Linked DNA regions of Arabidopsis thaliana. The protein of the gene in region 1 interacts with the protein of each later gene in a biochemical or structural test. Each region holds a gene or a part of one and is shown in the gene's direction. Other genes may lie near its edges.

Region 1 (8,990 bases):
GAAGTTGATGACAAAATGAGTAACAGTTTCCAAAAGAAGAGCTCATGCCACAAAGAACCTCAAAGCAAAGGAGGCAAGAAGAATAACAACAATAGCAGTAGCAGCAAGTTGAGGAGAGAATCAATGGCATCTTCAGCATCAGAATACTCCATTGGCTCTTTTTCTTACGGAAGTTTCACAACATACGAGAAGATACCCATCAAAAGTGTGAGTACCATCAATCAATGATCACGTAAAGTACACGTTTTGCATCGTTTTAGTACTAACCCATTTTATATATTCACAGGGTAGAGAAGAAGAGGAGATGATTACACCAGTGAGACGTTCAAGCCGGATTAAGAACAACAAACCTTCTGGTTCTGGTCTATGATAAAGAGATAGACATTTCATTTCAATCATTGCATCACTATGCAATCTTTTTAGTTTCCTAAGAATTAGAATTAGCTTTATGACTCCTTAAAATCTTCTGATTTGTACCAAACTAGTTGTGATTCAATCCAAAGTTTGTTTCTTTGTGTCAGTCTCAGTCGTTTAAAGTAAAAGAAGAAACAAAAGCATGAGACTTTTTTTTTTTTTTTGGTAACAAAGCATGAGACTAAACATCACAAGACTCAATTTCTCCAGCTTCCTCCTTCAGATCGCCCCTGACCACCGTAACCTCCGTCTCCATAACCACCTTCACGACGATCACCTCCATAACCACCACCGTATCCACCTCCACCGCCACGGTTGTAACCACCTTGATCACGTCTACCTCTGTAACCACCACTTCCGTAACCACCAACCATACCACCGCGAGTACCACTACCACGAGCCTGAGCCTAGTTAACAGTAATGTTACGACCATCAAGTTCTTGACCATTCATTCTATCGATCGCAGTCCTCATGGAATCCTCATCTTTAAAAGTCACAAATCTAAACCCCTTAGACCTCCCGGTCTCACGATCAATGATGATCTGATCCAATCCATAAACCATATAAAGTCGAGATTTTTATGATACAAAGAGAGAAACAGAGCAACACAAAAACAGAGTCACACTTTAACGGACCTTGGAGTCGAAAACTTCACCAAACTCGTTGAAACACCTCTCTATAGACTGTTCATCGGTGGCCCAAGCTAAACCTCCGACGAAGCATCGATACTCGTTGTCTGCATAAGCCACGTCCAAAGATTTGAGGAAGATGATGACGACGACGGTTCTATATAGAAGCGCGAAACCATGGTTACGTTGATTCGGTGCTTAACATGCATTCAGAAATATGATTAGAACTGTGACCAAAACACTCTCTTGGACGCATGATTTGTGCCACGTCACCAGAATCGAAATAATCTTGCTCTGATCCGATGGTTTAGATTTGACGGCTTATTTTGTATGTGTGGGGTCTCACGAAGAGGACATGTGTTAGTTATATGATCTTGAACTGGAAAACACAGATACAAACAACATTTGTACTTTCGGACACGTTGGATTTATTTAATAGCGATGCGGGATATGTAACAAAAATTAGGTAGTGATGTAAATTTGTTATCCGACGAAAGATGAATAGTTCATTGCTTTTTCTTCCCGAACAAATATCCTCAATTATGACTTAACTAGCTCGAGGTTAGAGAAAACTTTTCTATGGAAATAACAGTAATTGGAACGATTAATAAAATCATATACGCAACTGTAGCATATGAAAATTAATAAACAGTTTAAGAAAATTTCACATCACTTGTTCATATATTTTGAGAAAACTTTTGAGAAATTTTTAGCTCAAGAAAAATTCATCTCTATTAATGTCTACTTAATCACTATTTTCTAAATAAACCATAGTGAGACTTTGAACTAACATAATCATTCATTTTTCAAGTAAAATTAAATAAAAAAACTAAATATTTTCATTCGATTGGCATTGTTTAAATTGAACATTCTACAATAGAGAATTTGTTTCTATCAATTTTAAACTAAACATATATCAAATTTTTGGATCATATCAAAAAAGCTAGAAAATTCAATATCATTGTTTTTTAAAAAGAATACTTCAACATCTTTACAAAATCCTATAACCGATAAATATTTCATCCAATATTTTGAAAGAAAGTTGCCAACATTTCACATGTTTTTCTAGTTGATAATTTTCTATTGTACTGTATATGATTATATGTTGTAATAAATTGTTTAAAATGCAAATGATTACAGCGGTTGAGACGGACAAATACTATGCAGATTAAACCGCTTTTAATTTACCAATCATAAATTAGAATCTATAATAATATATACTAAGAAAACTGCCGTAAACCAATCATAAACCATTTTTACATACAAATAAGATTGATCCACAACGATTTATTATCTACTTGAAAATAAAACACACTTATATTATCGATGAATTTATCTATTCTGATTGCCGTTACCATTCGAACCAAAAAATTCAGAGTATTTAGAAAATTTTAGCAAGAAAAGAAAAAGATTCCTTTATTCGGCCAAGAATGGTGAATATAGGACGTGAGATATATTACTCCTTATATATCCGAACATTAAATTTACAACAATAATAAAACAGGAAAGAAGGAAAGAAAAAATCCCAAATAGTAATTGCGGCAACAGCTTAGCTGGCTTATGGCGGGATTACCGGGAAAGTCAAACCAAACATTAAAACGACGTCACTTTACCCCACACTAGGTTTTAATTTAATCTAATTTCAAAATTATTAATTAATCAGATTTGTAATTAATAATAAATTAATTTCGAAGTTTCTTGCAAAGACGAGAGAGAGAGGAGTGTCACAGTCTACAGTTGTTATCTCAACAATCTCGATCTTCTTCTTCTTCTTCTTTCTTTCTCTCTCTAAAGATTTTTTTCACTCAACAAATCACTTTTTGTTTTGTCTGATTTTAAGGATTAGTGAAAAATTTCTACTTTTTCTTCTCATAAATTAGGATTTAGAGAGAGAGAGAGAAAGAGAAAGAGAGGTGCTTTAATGTCTGTGAAGGTAGGAGCTGTAATTGGATCCAGTAACAGAGCAAACCCAGTTCGATATCTGTCTCTTTCTTCCTCTCTAAAGATCGAAAGACGTTATTTTTATTAGGGTTGTTGAATTGGGTATTTTGCTTAAATCCTGAAAAAAATAGTCTCTGTCTCTCTCTGGGTTTGGGTGATGAGTGTTGATGGGTCATTGGATTGAGTTTGATAAGCAATGGTTGATCAAAGAAGAAGCGCATTGGGTTTTGTCTTGTTGTTGTTGTGTTTGGTACTGTTCTTCGACTGTGTTGTTGTTGGTCAAACACAGAGTCGATTCAGTGAGAAACTCATTTTGCTTAATCTCAGGTCTTCTTTAGGGTTAAGAGGAACAGATTGGCCAATTAAAGGTGACCCTTGTGTTGATTGGAGAGGTATACAATGTGAGAATGGTAGTATCATTGGGATCAATATCTCTGGGTTTAGGAGAACAAGAATTGGTAAGCTAAACCCACAATTCTCTGTTGATCCTCTTCGTAATCTAACTCGTTTGTCGTATTTTAACGCGTCCGGGTTAGCGTTACCGGGGACTATACCTGAGTGGTTTGGTGTTAGTTTGTTGGCATTGGAAGTATTGGATCTTAGTTCGTGTTCTGTTAACGGTGTTGTTCCTTTTACTCTTGGTAATCTCACTAGTTTAAGAACTTTGAATCTGTCTCAGAACAGTCTTACTAGTTTAGTTCCTAGCAGTTTAGGACAGTTGTTGAATCTATCACAGCTTGATCTCTCTAGGAACTCATTCACTGGTGTTCTTCCTCAATCTTTTAGCTCTCTGAAGAATCTGTTGACTCTTGATGTTTCTTCCAATTACCTTACTGGACCTATCCCTCCTGGTTTAGGAGCGTTATCAAAGCTTATCCATCTGAACTTTTCAAGCAATAGTTTCTCGTCTCCGATTCCTTCAGAGCTTGGTGATCTTGTCAATCTGGTTGACTTTGATCTCAGCATCAATTCATTGTCTGGTTCAGTTCCTCAGGAGCTAAGAAAGTTAAGTAAGTTGCAGCTAATGGCGATTGGCGATAACCTTTTGAGTGGTACTTTACCAGTAGATTTGTTTAGTGCTGAGAGCCAACTGCAAACTTTAGTTTTGAGGGAAAATGGTTTCTCTGGTAGTCTACCTGATGTGTGCTGGTCGTTGCCAAAATTGCGGATTCTTGACATTGCTAAGAACAACTTCACAGGACTGCTGCCATATTCTAGTTATGATTCAGACCAGATAGCTGAAATGGTTGATATCTCTTCGAACACATTCTATGGAGAGCTCACACCGATTCTTAGACGGTTCAGGATAATGGACCTCTCTGGTAATTATTTCGAAGGTAAGCTTCCTGATTATGTGACCGGGGAAAATGTGTCTGTTACAAGCAATTGCCTTCGAAATGAGAGGAGACAGAAGCCGTCAGCAATATGTGCAGCATTCTATAAGTCTAGAGGATTAGATTTTGATGATTTCGGACGTCCTAATTTGACACAACCGACATCGAAAAATGCTTCTTCAGGGATAAGCCGCAGAACAGTAATTATATTGGCAGCAGTGGGTGGTGGAGTTGCTTTTATTCTTCTTTTTGTTATCTTGCCAATTATTCTGGTTCTATGCATGCGCCATAGACGCAGAGCGGCACAAAGAGGAAATAACGACAGGCCAAAACCTGCCGGGGAAGCTTCACAACAACCACCTAAAGGAGCACAAACCTTTGATTTGTCACGTCTTGGAAATGCATTTTCTTATGAGCAGCTTCTTCAGGCAACAGAGGAATTCAATGATGCTAATCTGATAAAACGTGGTCATTCGGGGAATCTGTTTCGTGGTTTCTTGGAAAATGGTATACCCGTTGTTATAAAAAAGATCGATGTGCGGGAAGGTAAAAGTGAAGGCTATATATCAGAACTGGAGTTGTTTAGTAAGGCTGGACACCAGAGGCTGGTTCCCTTTTTGGGACACTGCTTGGAGAATGAGAGCCAAAAGTTCTTGGTATACAAGTTTATGAGACACGGTGATTTGGCTAGCTCTTTGTTCAGGAAATCCGAAAACGAAGGTGATGGATTGAAGTCTTTGGATTGGATAACAAGGTTGAAAATTGCTCTTGGTGCAGCTGAGGGACTCTCTTATTTGCATCATGAGTGTTCACCGCCTCTAGTTCATAGGTACTACTCTCCTGCTCAGCTTCTCGTAATATAATCTTGATATTTTTTAAAGCATTGACATAGCAAGACTATTGGAAGTTGTTTTGTTGATTCTGTTTTTAGTATCATATAACCTTTCATGTTCATAATTAGTAAGATCTATTCAAGAATTGTTAGTGTATAGTTTCATAGATGGAGAAGCCCAATGACATCACCTGCTCCTAAATTACTTCTTGTTGATCTATGCTCTATTGCCTGATAAGAAGAAAAGCGAGAGAACTCATGTGTGTGTTTGTGTTCAATGTTAAATAGGGATGTACAAGCAAGTAGCATACTTCTTGATGATAAATTTGAGGTACGTCTTGGAAGCCTAAGCGAGGCATATGCTCAAGGTGATGCTTATCAAAGCAGAATTTCTCGTTTACTTCGATTACCGCAGTAAGTGCTTATTACATTAACAAACTCTCTGGTCCTTTTCTGTTTTACTTTGATTCCCTAACATGACTCTGTATGTTGTCTTGGCACCTACTAATGCTTCGCTGTCTCTTCTTTTCCTATTCTTGCAGATCGAGTGAACCATCTTCTTCAGGTATACACTTAGGAGAATAAAAATTTCATCAGGATATACCATCTCCGATTAACCGATAGACATCTGATTGGTTTATTCTTTTCAGGTGTAACAAATGCAATATGTTCGTATGATGTCTACTGCTTTGGCAAAGTGTTACTTGAGCTAGTAACGGGGAAGCTCGGGATTAGCTCGCCAGACAACGCACTTGCAAAAGAGTACATGGAAGAAGCTTTGCCATACATCAGCACAAACGAGAAAGAACTAGTAACCAAGATCTTAGACCCGTCATTAATGGTGGACGAAGACCTTCTAGAAGAAGTATGGGCAATGGCTATCATTGCAAAGTCATGCCTAAACCCAAAACCAACAAGAAGACCATTAATGAGACACATTGTGAACGCACTTGAGAACCCACTGAAAGTAGTAAGAGAAGATACCAACTCGGGTTCAGGCTCTTCCCGGTTAAGAACAAACTCGTCGAGAGGGTCTTGGAACGCTGCTATATTTGGGAGCTGGAGGCAGAGTGCGTCGGATGTAACAGCTGTTCAAGCGGGAGCAACAACAAGCGGTGGTGGTGGTGGTGGTGGTGGTAATGGTTTGAGAAACTCGGGGTCGCAAGGAAGTAGCGGAAGGAACAATAACAACAACGGGAATTCATCGTCGTCGAGAAGACGGCAATCTAGTGAGATTGTACCGGAACCTGCTGCTTATGGAGTAGTAGAGGATAATTTATGATTCGTTTCATCGATTCTTTTGTGTCGATAATAACAGAGGCAAAGAGAGTCCTCAAAGGTAGCATAATGTTAGATGGGAGGAGGATTTGTTTTTTCTTTCTTTTGTTTTGTTTTTGGGTTTAGGATTGGTGGGAGTTAGAAATGTTAGTTCACTCTTTGTTTTTGTTTTTTGGTTCAAACGTGGATTTTGTAAATTGTAAAATTCTTGGAGATTGGGTTTTGTTTTCGGTTTCTTTCTTATTGAAAGACCAGAAAACAAAACAAAACAAAAAAGTTGGGTTACATTTGTTTCAGTTCCACCATTACTTATTATTCTTGTATCTGATTTCGTACGTGTGAATTTTGTTGACTATTTCATTTGCACGTGGCAAGCTTTTGATATGTATTTGGACAAAAAGTGAAAGGAAAGATACTTCTTCCTTTTGTTGGATCTGATTTCGTACGTGTGAATATTGTTGACTAGTTCATTCGCACGTGGGAAGCTTTTGATTCATATTGGGACAAAAAGTAAAAATAAAGGTTCTACCGAGAATTGAACTCGGGTTACTGGATTCAGAGTCCAATGTCCTAACCGCTAGACCATAGAACCATTATGTTTAGAGACGTAAACTTATAATATATATACGTATGAACCAAAATGTTGAAGTTGTAGGATTTTTGGTCTGAGTTACCTGTAATTATATTTAATTATTTCATACACTGAACTTAATTTGAAAATTACAACATTACAAACAAAAATTGAAATTCTAATGAGTTACTTTTGCCAAATCTATCATGGTTAGAAACTTAGAATGATTAAATAGCTAAACTATATCCCAATATATAAGATGTTCTTATGTATTTTATTTTTGTCCATTATATTAAAACTTAAAATAAATTTTCATATTTTCTAATCATTTCTGTTATATGCAATATTTGCCACGATTGGTTGAATTGTTTTAAATAAATAAATAATATTTTGTAAAGAACATAAGTTTCTTAATATATGTGATTTAACTAAAACATCTTATAAGAAATTGGACAGCGGAATATTATTTTCTTGGGTTATTTTTGCCAATTCTCATTGATTTAATAAGTTGGTTGTTAATTGGCTATTTGACAGATTATTCCATACCAAACAAAATTTGAAAGAAATCTCCAAAAATATGATTAATACTGTAAACAATGGGGAAACCCATGCAAAGAAGTCAGCAAGTGGGTTGTAGTAAAATCAGCACATGTGATTATGAGCTTTGGGATTCTGCATAAACTTCTGTTCACTAACCAATTAATTATACTATATTACTCCCAACCCTTACACTAACTTATTACTCTTTTACATTTCAAATCTCACTTCCTCCACATTCCTCTGTCTTCATGGCTCTCTCCATCCTCTTCCTTCTCCTCTTCATTCTCTTCTCTATTTCGCCGTCAAATGCACAGTCGTTTATCGGAGTAAACTACGGCTTACTATCCGACAACCTCCCGCCACCTTCTCAAACGGCCAAACTCCTCCAATCTACCTCCATCCAGAAAGTGAGGCTATACAATGCGGATTCCTCCATCATCACATCCTTGGTTGGAACCGGTATTGGTATTGTTATCGGAGTAGCAAATGGCGATCTCCCGTCTATCGCCTCGGATCTCAACATTGCCTCTCAGTGGATAAATTCCAACGTACTTCCTTTCTATCCTGCCTCCAACATCATTCTCATCAATGTCGGCAACGAGGTGAATCTTTTTCTTTATCAAATTATTCACACAAGTTTTTCTAAAATTAATTTTCTTGATATTATTTTTGTAAACTCTTTTCCTCCAGATTAGGCAACTAATCGCGGAAAATGTTATTTAAATTAAATGTATGCTTGCTTGACAAAATAAATCTCTAAACCTCTCATCGTTGATATGTAGGTGTTGTTGTCAAATGATCTGAATCTTGTAAACCAACTTCTCCCGGCTATGCAAAATGTTCAAAAGGCTCTCGAGGCGGTTTCACTAGGTGGAAAAATCAAGGTGTCTACTGTCCATGCAATGACAGTACTAGGCAACTCCGAACCGCCATCAGCTGGTTCGTTTGCTCCTAGTTATCAGGCCGGTTTAAAGGGCATTCTACAGTTTCTTAGCGATACCGGGTCGCCTTTTGCCATCAACCCGTACCCGTTCTTTGCATATCAGAGCGACCCGAGACCCGAAACGCTGGCGTTTTGTCTTTTCCAGCCTAACCCTGGACGGGTAGACTCAAACACTGGAATCAAGTACATGAACATGTTTGATGCTCAGGTAATTAACTAAAGTTATAATATATAATCTCTCACGGGTTGGTTTCTGGACTATTAGTTAATGCGATACTATTATAACGTTATAATTTGAATTTTCTCTACAACTAAACATTTTGTTAAACTTGCTTTTCATATTGCAAAATATATAGGTCTTGGTTTTGAAATTGGTGGACCGTTTAATATCTAATTGATATAACTCACAATCCAGCTCAAACATTAATATTTTGATACAACGCATTTGTTTATTTGGTATCAATCTCATAGTATGGTTCATTTGTTATAATTTATTGTTGCACCGAGA
Region 2 (7,310 bases), 6.5 Mb from region 1:
TCATCTTCGGTGTACATAATGCATCAATTGCAACAATTCTGGTTCTTCGCCTTTTGAAAGGATCCATTGCCTTTTTGTCAATGTACTCACCAGCAAACCGAAACGAAGATGCATACCTAGGTAGAAACAAAAATCATAGAAAAAAAAGGTAAATAACTACAAATAACTAACCTTTCTTCAAAACTTGATAATTTAGATGCCAACTACTATCGGCCATTTCTAAGTCAGCAATACATAGTTATCACCCTTATTTATGAAGCACACCTACAATATAAGCAATAATCTAGACGTACATTTCTTTTACTATTTGTCAACATGCCTCAATCAGGATTTGTACAAACTGATCTGAAACGAGCCTACTGGTATGTAAAAGTATCAAAATACAGAGACTTATCAGCCAATATATTAAATAAACACAGACCAATGCTACAAAACTACCAAATCTCACCCTGTGTAACATGAAAATCTTTCCGCACCAACTATTTCTATAGCTTCATTGTCATCCATCCGAGGCAAGAAAAGCATGCCAGCGATTAATTCAGGGTTAATCATGAAGCGTATCTCTTCCTGGACAAGAATCCAATTGGAAGTCAATGAAAAATCCTAAACCATTGATTTACAATAGATCTTTTGACAAAAAAAATGAACTCAAGAATCATGTATGCTTGTGAAATCTAAAATGTAATATGATCTCAAACCTGCACGCACCCTCTACTTAGGGAACCACCTCCGAGATACTTGTTTGCAAAGTCCACTTCGAGAGCATTGTCAGGTTGATCTTCAATTAACCCAAAAGAGTGAACCTATAACAATAAAGCTGTCAGCAAAAAGTAATGTACAAGCATTTGCAGATTTAATATTACAAGGTACAGAAATCCACAAGCCAATATTTGTCACCTTAAATGCACAAAGAGAAACGTCAGACTTGCTCCAGAAATCAGCATCAGGAGCAGCGGTAATCTTGCGTTCAAATGAAACAATACCAATAGGCACGCAGGAGCAAAACCTTTCAAAGTAATGCATAATACATCTTATCTTGCTTTCTTGACTTTGACTATAACTTATATAAAGGCTTCTGAAAAGCAAGTAAAACTCGGATATCAGACTGTGGGCATACGAAGTCCAAGAATCCAAATGAAACTTACTCAATGCACGGTAGACAAGAATTTTCAGAATTAAAATCTTCACATGCACATGATAGCCAATGAATCATAGAAATATGTGGTTTTTCTCACAACAAGCTAATCCAAGTCTAACTAGTGAACTCCCAATGGAGACTGAGGCCCATATGCGCTCTCTAGCGGATTTGCTTTCTCACTCTCGAGTGTGAATGTCAATAAATTACATATTAAAGGTTCCCTTTCTTTCACATACGTGCTTGATCATTCATGACTTAAGCCAAATGACTGACATTTTAACATTAGGCATTTCTTCCAGACCAGACTAATGTAGGCTTAATCACTATGAAAGGTTTAGAAGAGAAAGCAGAGAGGTAACATACGCAAACAAATGATCAAAGTTGATGACTGGAAGGTGTTTTGCACCTCTATTATCATCCGGAAACAAACAAAAGAAAGAGCATGCAAGAAGAGCTCCAATCAACTCCTGCAATATTGAAGTTCGAACGGACAGGTAAGAAAAGCAAGAATCCATAGAGACTATATCTTCAACAACACAAGGTCATTATCCAGTATGAACACATGTATATTCAACACAAGGTCATTATCCAGTAAGAAAAGCAAGAATCCATAGAGACTATATCTTCAACACACAAGGTAATCATCCAGTAAGAACACATGTATATTCGACGTAATTTCCTCCCCATAAATCACTACTCAAGAGTCAGGAATAGAACCAAAAAAACACCTTTAGCTCAAATGTAGGAGATAGCACTTTGTATCAATACCTGGCTGAGGAAAACAATGCCAGCTTGTTGGGAATTTAACAAACGAAGACCGGTTTTGATTCCACTAACAATATTATCAGCATTTTGGAAATGCACTTCTAACAGAGATGGAAACTGTAGAAGTAAGCTCGCCAATGCTGGGATAATCTCATCGAACCATCTCTTTGATTCTTTCTCATCAATCAACTGCGAGTACCAAAAACTTAGTTCCACTACTCAATTCGATTTGAAGATACACTCAAATCCAAAAGCAATCACCATAAAGTTAAAAAGAGATAATTACTTCGTCAAAGAGAAATGCGTAGCCATTAGAAGCAGATGGCTCGAGAGTAGAGAAAGATAAGGATCGTCTCATATCGAAAATAGCTTGCCGTAGAACCTCTCCTGAGTCAACTTGGCTGTGAGATGGTCCTTCAGACATTGCCTTTAACGCCTCCACCACACGCGGCGGCCAATACAGCGACGACGAACGAATTACAAGTGGAAGGTACGGAAGAATTGAGTTAAGATCTTCGCGATTCTCCATTTTTCGATTTTTCTAATCTCACAGCTGTTCTCAATTGCTTTTGAAACAGGTTTACGAATCGCTTCTGCGACAAGATTCTGCTGCCGCTAGAAGATACTCAAGTCCCGGAGTAAAAAATCTAAAAAAGTCAAGAGTGCGAAGGCGAAAGGCAAACCGGTTTTGTAGAACCGGGAAGTTGGAACTTGAACCATATCGGTAATGTATTGGTTTAGTGGCAATAACATCCTCGTTAGCTATCTGGTTAACTCATTTTAAGTTAAAAGCCAGTTTCGAGTTATTTCACACTCACCAGTTTGGAATCTTGATACAGACAACGAACGTATTGACGGAAAACGCTAAAAGAAAGTGACTGGAAAATAGAAGGTGTGTGTAACATAACATTTATTTTTTTCTAACGTGTAGGAAACGGTGGCTCACTATGGAACCCACAGCGTAGACTTTGACTTATCAACGCTTACATAGTCAAGTCAATAACAAAATTCGCTATATCAATAATACAGTTTTGCAACTTTCTATATTCACATTTTCTACTTTATTATTTTCCCATAAAACTTCCTGGAAGAATTTAAATCAAAAAAAAAATGTACAATTTAGCCCATTTCACAGGTCAGGATTATCAGTTTTTATAATGGTTTTTTCTTCTTTAGACTTTAATTAAAAACAGAACTCTTATTAAGAATATACAAATAATTCAAAAAGTATACGCTGAATCAATGTTTCTCCAAAACCATTGATAACTAAATATCATAATATAAAATACAATTTTGTTAGGAGATCTTATGTAAGAATTCAGTAATCTATCATTAATATCAAACTAATCAAATAAAATACTAGCAATAGAAAACCCCATTTTTTCGATATGAAACCGGGGCTTGGATGGATCCCTTGAACAAACCATAAATTTTTCAAACTGTTAATTTAAGTTTACCAATTATATGTATAAGTGTATAACAATATTAAGAAATTAACTTGTGAATATATTTTGTAACTTTATTTTTTTTGGGTCAAATATATTTTGTCACTTCAAAAATAAAGTTTTAGAAGAAAAAAAAAACCACGAAACACGTAAAGATTTCTCAATAGATTAGTACCAGTTGCTGACCATAAATAGACAGAGTGTAGACTCCGACAACATCCACAAGAAGAAACTTTCTCTAATTAAAATGGCTGTTCCCACGGGAAGCGCCAATCTCTTTCTCCGGCCTCTCATCCTCGCCGTTCTCTCCTTTCTTCTTCTCTCTTCATTCGTCTCCTCTGTTGAGTGGCTCGATATCGATTCCTCAGATCTCAAAGCTCTTCAGGTCATCGAAACAGAGCTCGGAGTCAACAGTCAACGTTCTTCGGCCAGTGATGTCAACCCTTGCGGTCGCCGAGGAGTTTTCTGCGAGAGACGGCACTCTGCCACCACCGGAGAATACGTTCTCCGTGTCACGAGGCTCGTCTACCGATCCAGGAGCTTGACGGGGACTATCTCTCCGGTCATCGGAATGTTGTCGGAGCTCAAGGAACTTACTTTGTCTAATAACCAGTTGGTCAACGCTGTTCCGGTGGATATCTTAAGCTGTAAGCAACTTGAAGTTCTTGATCTTCGGAAAAATAGATTTTCCGGTCAGATTCCGGGAAACTTTTCTAGTTTGAGCCGTCTTCGAATCCTTGATCTCTCTTCGAACAAGTTATCCGGGAACTTGAATTTCTTGAAGAATCTACGCAATCTGGAGAATCTCTCTGTTGCAAACAATCTCTTCTCAGGCAAAATCCCGGAACAAATTGTGTCGTTCCACAATCTCCGGTTCTTTGATTTCTCCGGAAACCGGTATTTGGAAGGTCCGGCTCCGGTTATGAGCAGTATCAAGCTTCAGACATCTCCACATCAAACAAGACACATTCTTGCTGAAACTCCAACTTCAAGTCCCACGAACAAACCCAACAACAGCACTACATCAAAAGCTCCAAAGGGAGCTCCAAAACCAGGGAAGTTGAAGAAGAAGAAGAAGAAGAGCAAGAAGAAGAAAGTAGCGGCATGGATCTTAGGGTTTGTCGTTGGAGCCATAGGAGGAACAATCTCTGGGTTTGTCTTCTCGGTGTTGTTCAAATTGATTATTCAAGCAATAAGAGGATCAGAAAAACCACCAGGTCCTTCCATATTCAGCCCATTGATCAAGAAAGCTGAAGATTTAGCTTTCTTGGAGAATGAAGAAGCGTTAGCTTCTCTGGAGATCATAGGAAGAGGAGGTTGTGGAGAAGTTTTCAAAGCTGAACTACCAGGAAGCAATGGGAAGATCATAGCTGTGAAGAAAGTGATCCAACCGCCTAAAGACGCCGATGAACTAACAGATGAAGATTCCAAGTTTCTGAACAAGAAAATGAGGCAAATTAGATCCGAGATCAACACAGTCGGCCATATCCGGCACCGGAATCTTCTCCCATTGTTAGCACACGTGTCAAGACCCGAGTGCCACTACCTCGTTTACGAGTACATGGAAAAGGGGAGTTTGCAAGATATATTGACTGACGTACAAGCTGGAAATCAAGAACTAATGTGGCCAGCGAGGCACAAGATTGCTTTAGGTATAGCTGCAGGGCTTGAGTACCTTCACATGGATCATAACCCACGAATCATTCACAGAGACTTAAAGCCAGCCAATGTTCTTCTTGATGATGACATGGAAGCCAGAATTTCAGATTTCGGACTGGCAAAGGCAATGCCAGATGCAGTCACACATATTACAACCTCGCATGTTGCAGGTACTGTGGGATACATAGCACCAGAGTTTTATCAAACCCACAAGTTCACAGATAAATGTGATATCTATAGTTTTGGAGTGATTCTTGGGATTCTGGTGATTGGGAAGCTTCCTTCAGATGAGTTTTTTCAGCATACTGACGAGATGAGTCTGATAAAGTGGATGAGGAACATAATAACATCGGAAAATCCTAGCCTTGCGATTGATCCGAAGTTGATGGATCAAGGATTCGATGAACAGATGCTTCTGGTTCTGAAGATCGCCTGTTACTGTACTTTGGATGATCCAAAACAGAGGCCGAACAGTAAAGATGTCAGGACCATGTTGTCCCAGATCAAGCACTAGTGTTTCAATATGTATTGTTTGCTTCTATCTATATTTCCTAGATTCCTGTTGCATACGAAATAACTATGAACACAATCTTGGCAGAAATTTGTAATGGCGACTGTAAAATTTAAATGGATTTCAATTATGATTATTGCTCTAAACATAAATCATCAATCTACTATAAGAATCTTAGCTATATACATAACGGAAAAGAACACTTGATTAACAACCTTAAAATGACAACACATTACATGTTTGGTTACTTGTCTTCTCTATATGCAGCCGGTGAGAATCTCCCTCAAATATTCTAGCTGTTCATGACTGCCTTCATGTTCTTCCCACTAAAAATAATAAAAACAAAGTCAACACATGTTCAGTATGTACTCCTGATTGAGATGGGAAAACATATCAATTATGCAAGAGCATGTGAGATCTTTTTACTATTGAACAGAACAAGTATTCTAAAAATGGAGACAATTTCTTATCCTAGCAACTCAATTTTATATCAGTTTCCATTTTTCAACGTTATAGACCCACCTCTTGAAGAGACAGAGATACCACTTTCCATCCAGCAGCAGCAACATATCGCCGCTTCAGCATTGTATGCCCTAATGGTAGTCCTGTAGAACACAAGAGTCGAAATGATCATTAAGTTTGGGTTGGCTCCACCAGACACCAATATATATTAAGAAACAGAGTGATGTCACTTACCAGAGTTTCTTGAAAAATGAGTTGGCCCGTCGATTTCTAAAGCAACTTTCTTCTCGACCAGAGCAACATCCACGGTGTAGCCATCCACATCATGTTCTTTAGCCCAATCAAGCCCTGTACTTATAAGAAGGCGTCCAACTTCTTTCTGAAACGATGAGGTTATTTTCTGATTGAATCTTTTGGTTTTTCCTGCGCGGCTTATTTTTTCTTCGAGTTCTTGACAAAGTGACAACTGAAGGTGGGGGCACTCAAGCTTCAAGCACTGATTCACAAGATACACCTGAGAAGCAAACATGACATCTTCCCTATACTGTTCTGAAAGCCTTTGCTCCTCCAAGGTGGTTAAAGTATTCCATATATTGGCAAAGAAAGGTCGCTCCACTTGCCCAAGAACAGCATAAGACCATGCTATGTTTCCAAGCTGGTCCCTGTTAAAGCTAAGTGCTGGAGATCTTGAAACATCATCGCTTACTTCAGCATCCACTACTTCATCAGAGTTTGTTATTTCTTTCGTCAAGTAACACTTGAACTGGTCACTGCTTTTGAATGCACTATCCAAAGATTCAAGCAAAGGATCAGCTGGCTCATAAAGTGAGGCAAATGACCACAATAGTTGAGCAATCTCTTGACCCTTAAAGGTATTGATAATAGTAGATGCCCTCTTTGACAACTCAGCAAAGAGTTCTGGAGCAGAATGCCGCATGGAAGCAAACGCCCCAGCAATATTAGCAACATTCTGAGAATTGAACTCACCCACCTTTGATGTGGCAACTTCTGCAACCCTATCCATCTCTGTCAAATATAGCAATTCACCTCCAATTTTGGATAATGCCCAAGAAATATTTGAGATGCCTTGAGCTGAACATTCTGGTAGACATGTCATTGCAAGAGCAACAAGCATTGACATCTCTCTTTGCCGAGCAAATGCAAGCCTACGAGTTCTCATCATTGAAACTTTCTCCATATTCTTGGCAATTCGGTGAAGTGCAGTAGCAATATTTAAAGGAGACAAAGGTGATGGACTTAAACCTTTGGCAACAGCCATGATTGTCTCAGCAGTTACTTCCAATACCTCTTCAGCAGTCTGTGCTTCTAT

The links. Proteins that work in one complex are often made in the same cells at the same time.
Region 2: the proteins of AT2G16250 (region 1) and SOBIR1 form a complex in vitro, tested with the Arabidopsis thaliana proteins (one large-scale study listed by BioGRID).

What each region holds. Positions count from the first base shown.
Region 1 is NC_003071.7:7,037,124-7,046,113, reverse strand, and holds AT2G16250 (Leucine-rich repeat protein kinase family protein), read left to right. Parts: upstream 1-2,759; 5' UTR 2,760-3,180; coding exon 3,181-5,147; intron 5,148-5,438; coding exon 5,439-5,564; coding exon of another isoform or gene 5,565-5,568; exon of another isoform or gene 5,569-5,692; coding exon 5,693-5,715; exon of another isoform or gene 5,716-5,800; coding exon 5,801-6,432; downstream 6,433-8,990. Other genes in the region: AT2G16270 (uncharacterized protein), read left to right, coding at 1-207, 287-370; AT2G16230 (O-Glycosyl hydrolases family 17 protein), read left to right, coding at 7,788-8,141, 8,322-8,690.
Region 2 is NC_003071.7:13,551,325-13,558,634, forward strand, and holds SOBIR1 (Leucine-rich repeat protein kinase family protein), read left to right. Parts: upstream 1-3,569; 5' UTR 3,570-3,595; coding exon 3,596-5,521; 3' UTR 5,522-5,653; downstream 5,654-7,310. Other genes in the region: TEJ (Poly (ADP-ribose) glycohydrolase (PARG)), read right to left, coding at 1-116, 449-567, 699-803, 898-1,075, 1,502-1,605, 1,907-2,092, 2,190-2,432; RAP, read right to left, coding at 5,776-5,844, 6,041-6,123, 6,215-7,310. UniProt on the Arabidopsis thaliana protein: Dual specificity kinase acting on both serine/threonine- and tyrosine-containing substrates. Acting as a counterplayer of BIR1, promotes the activation of plant defense and cell death.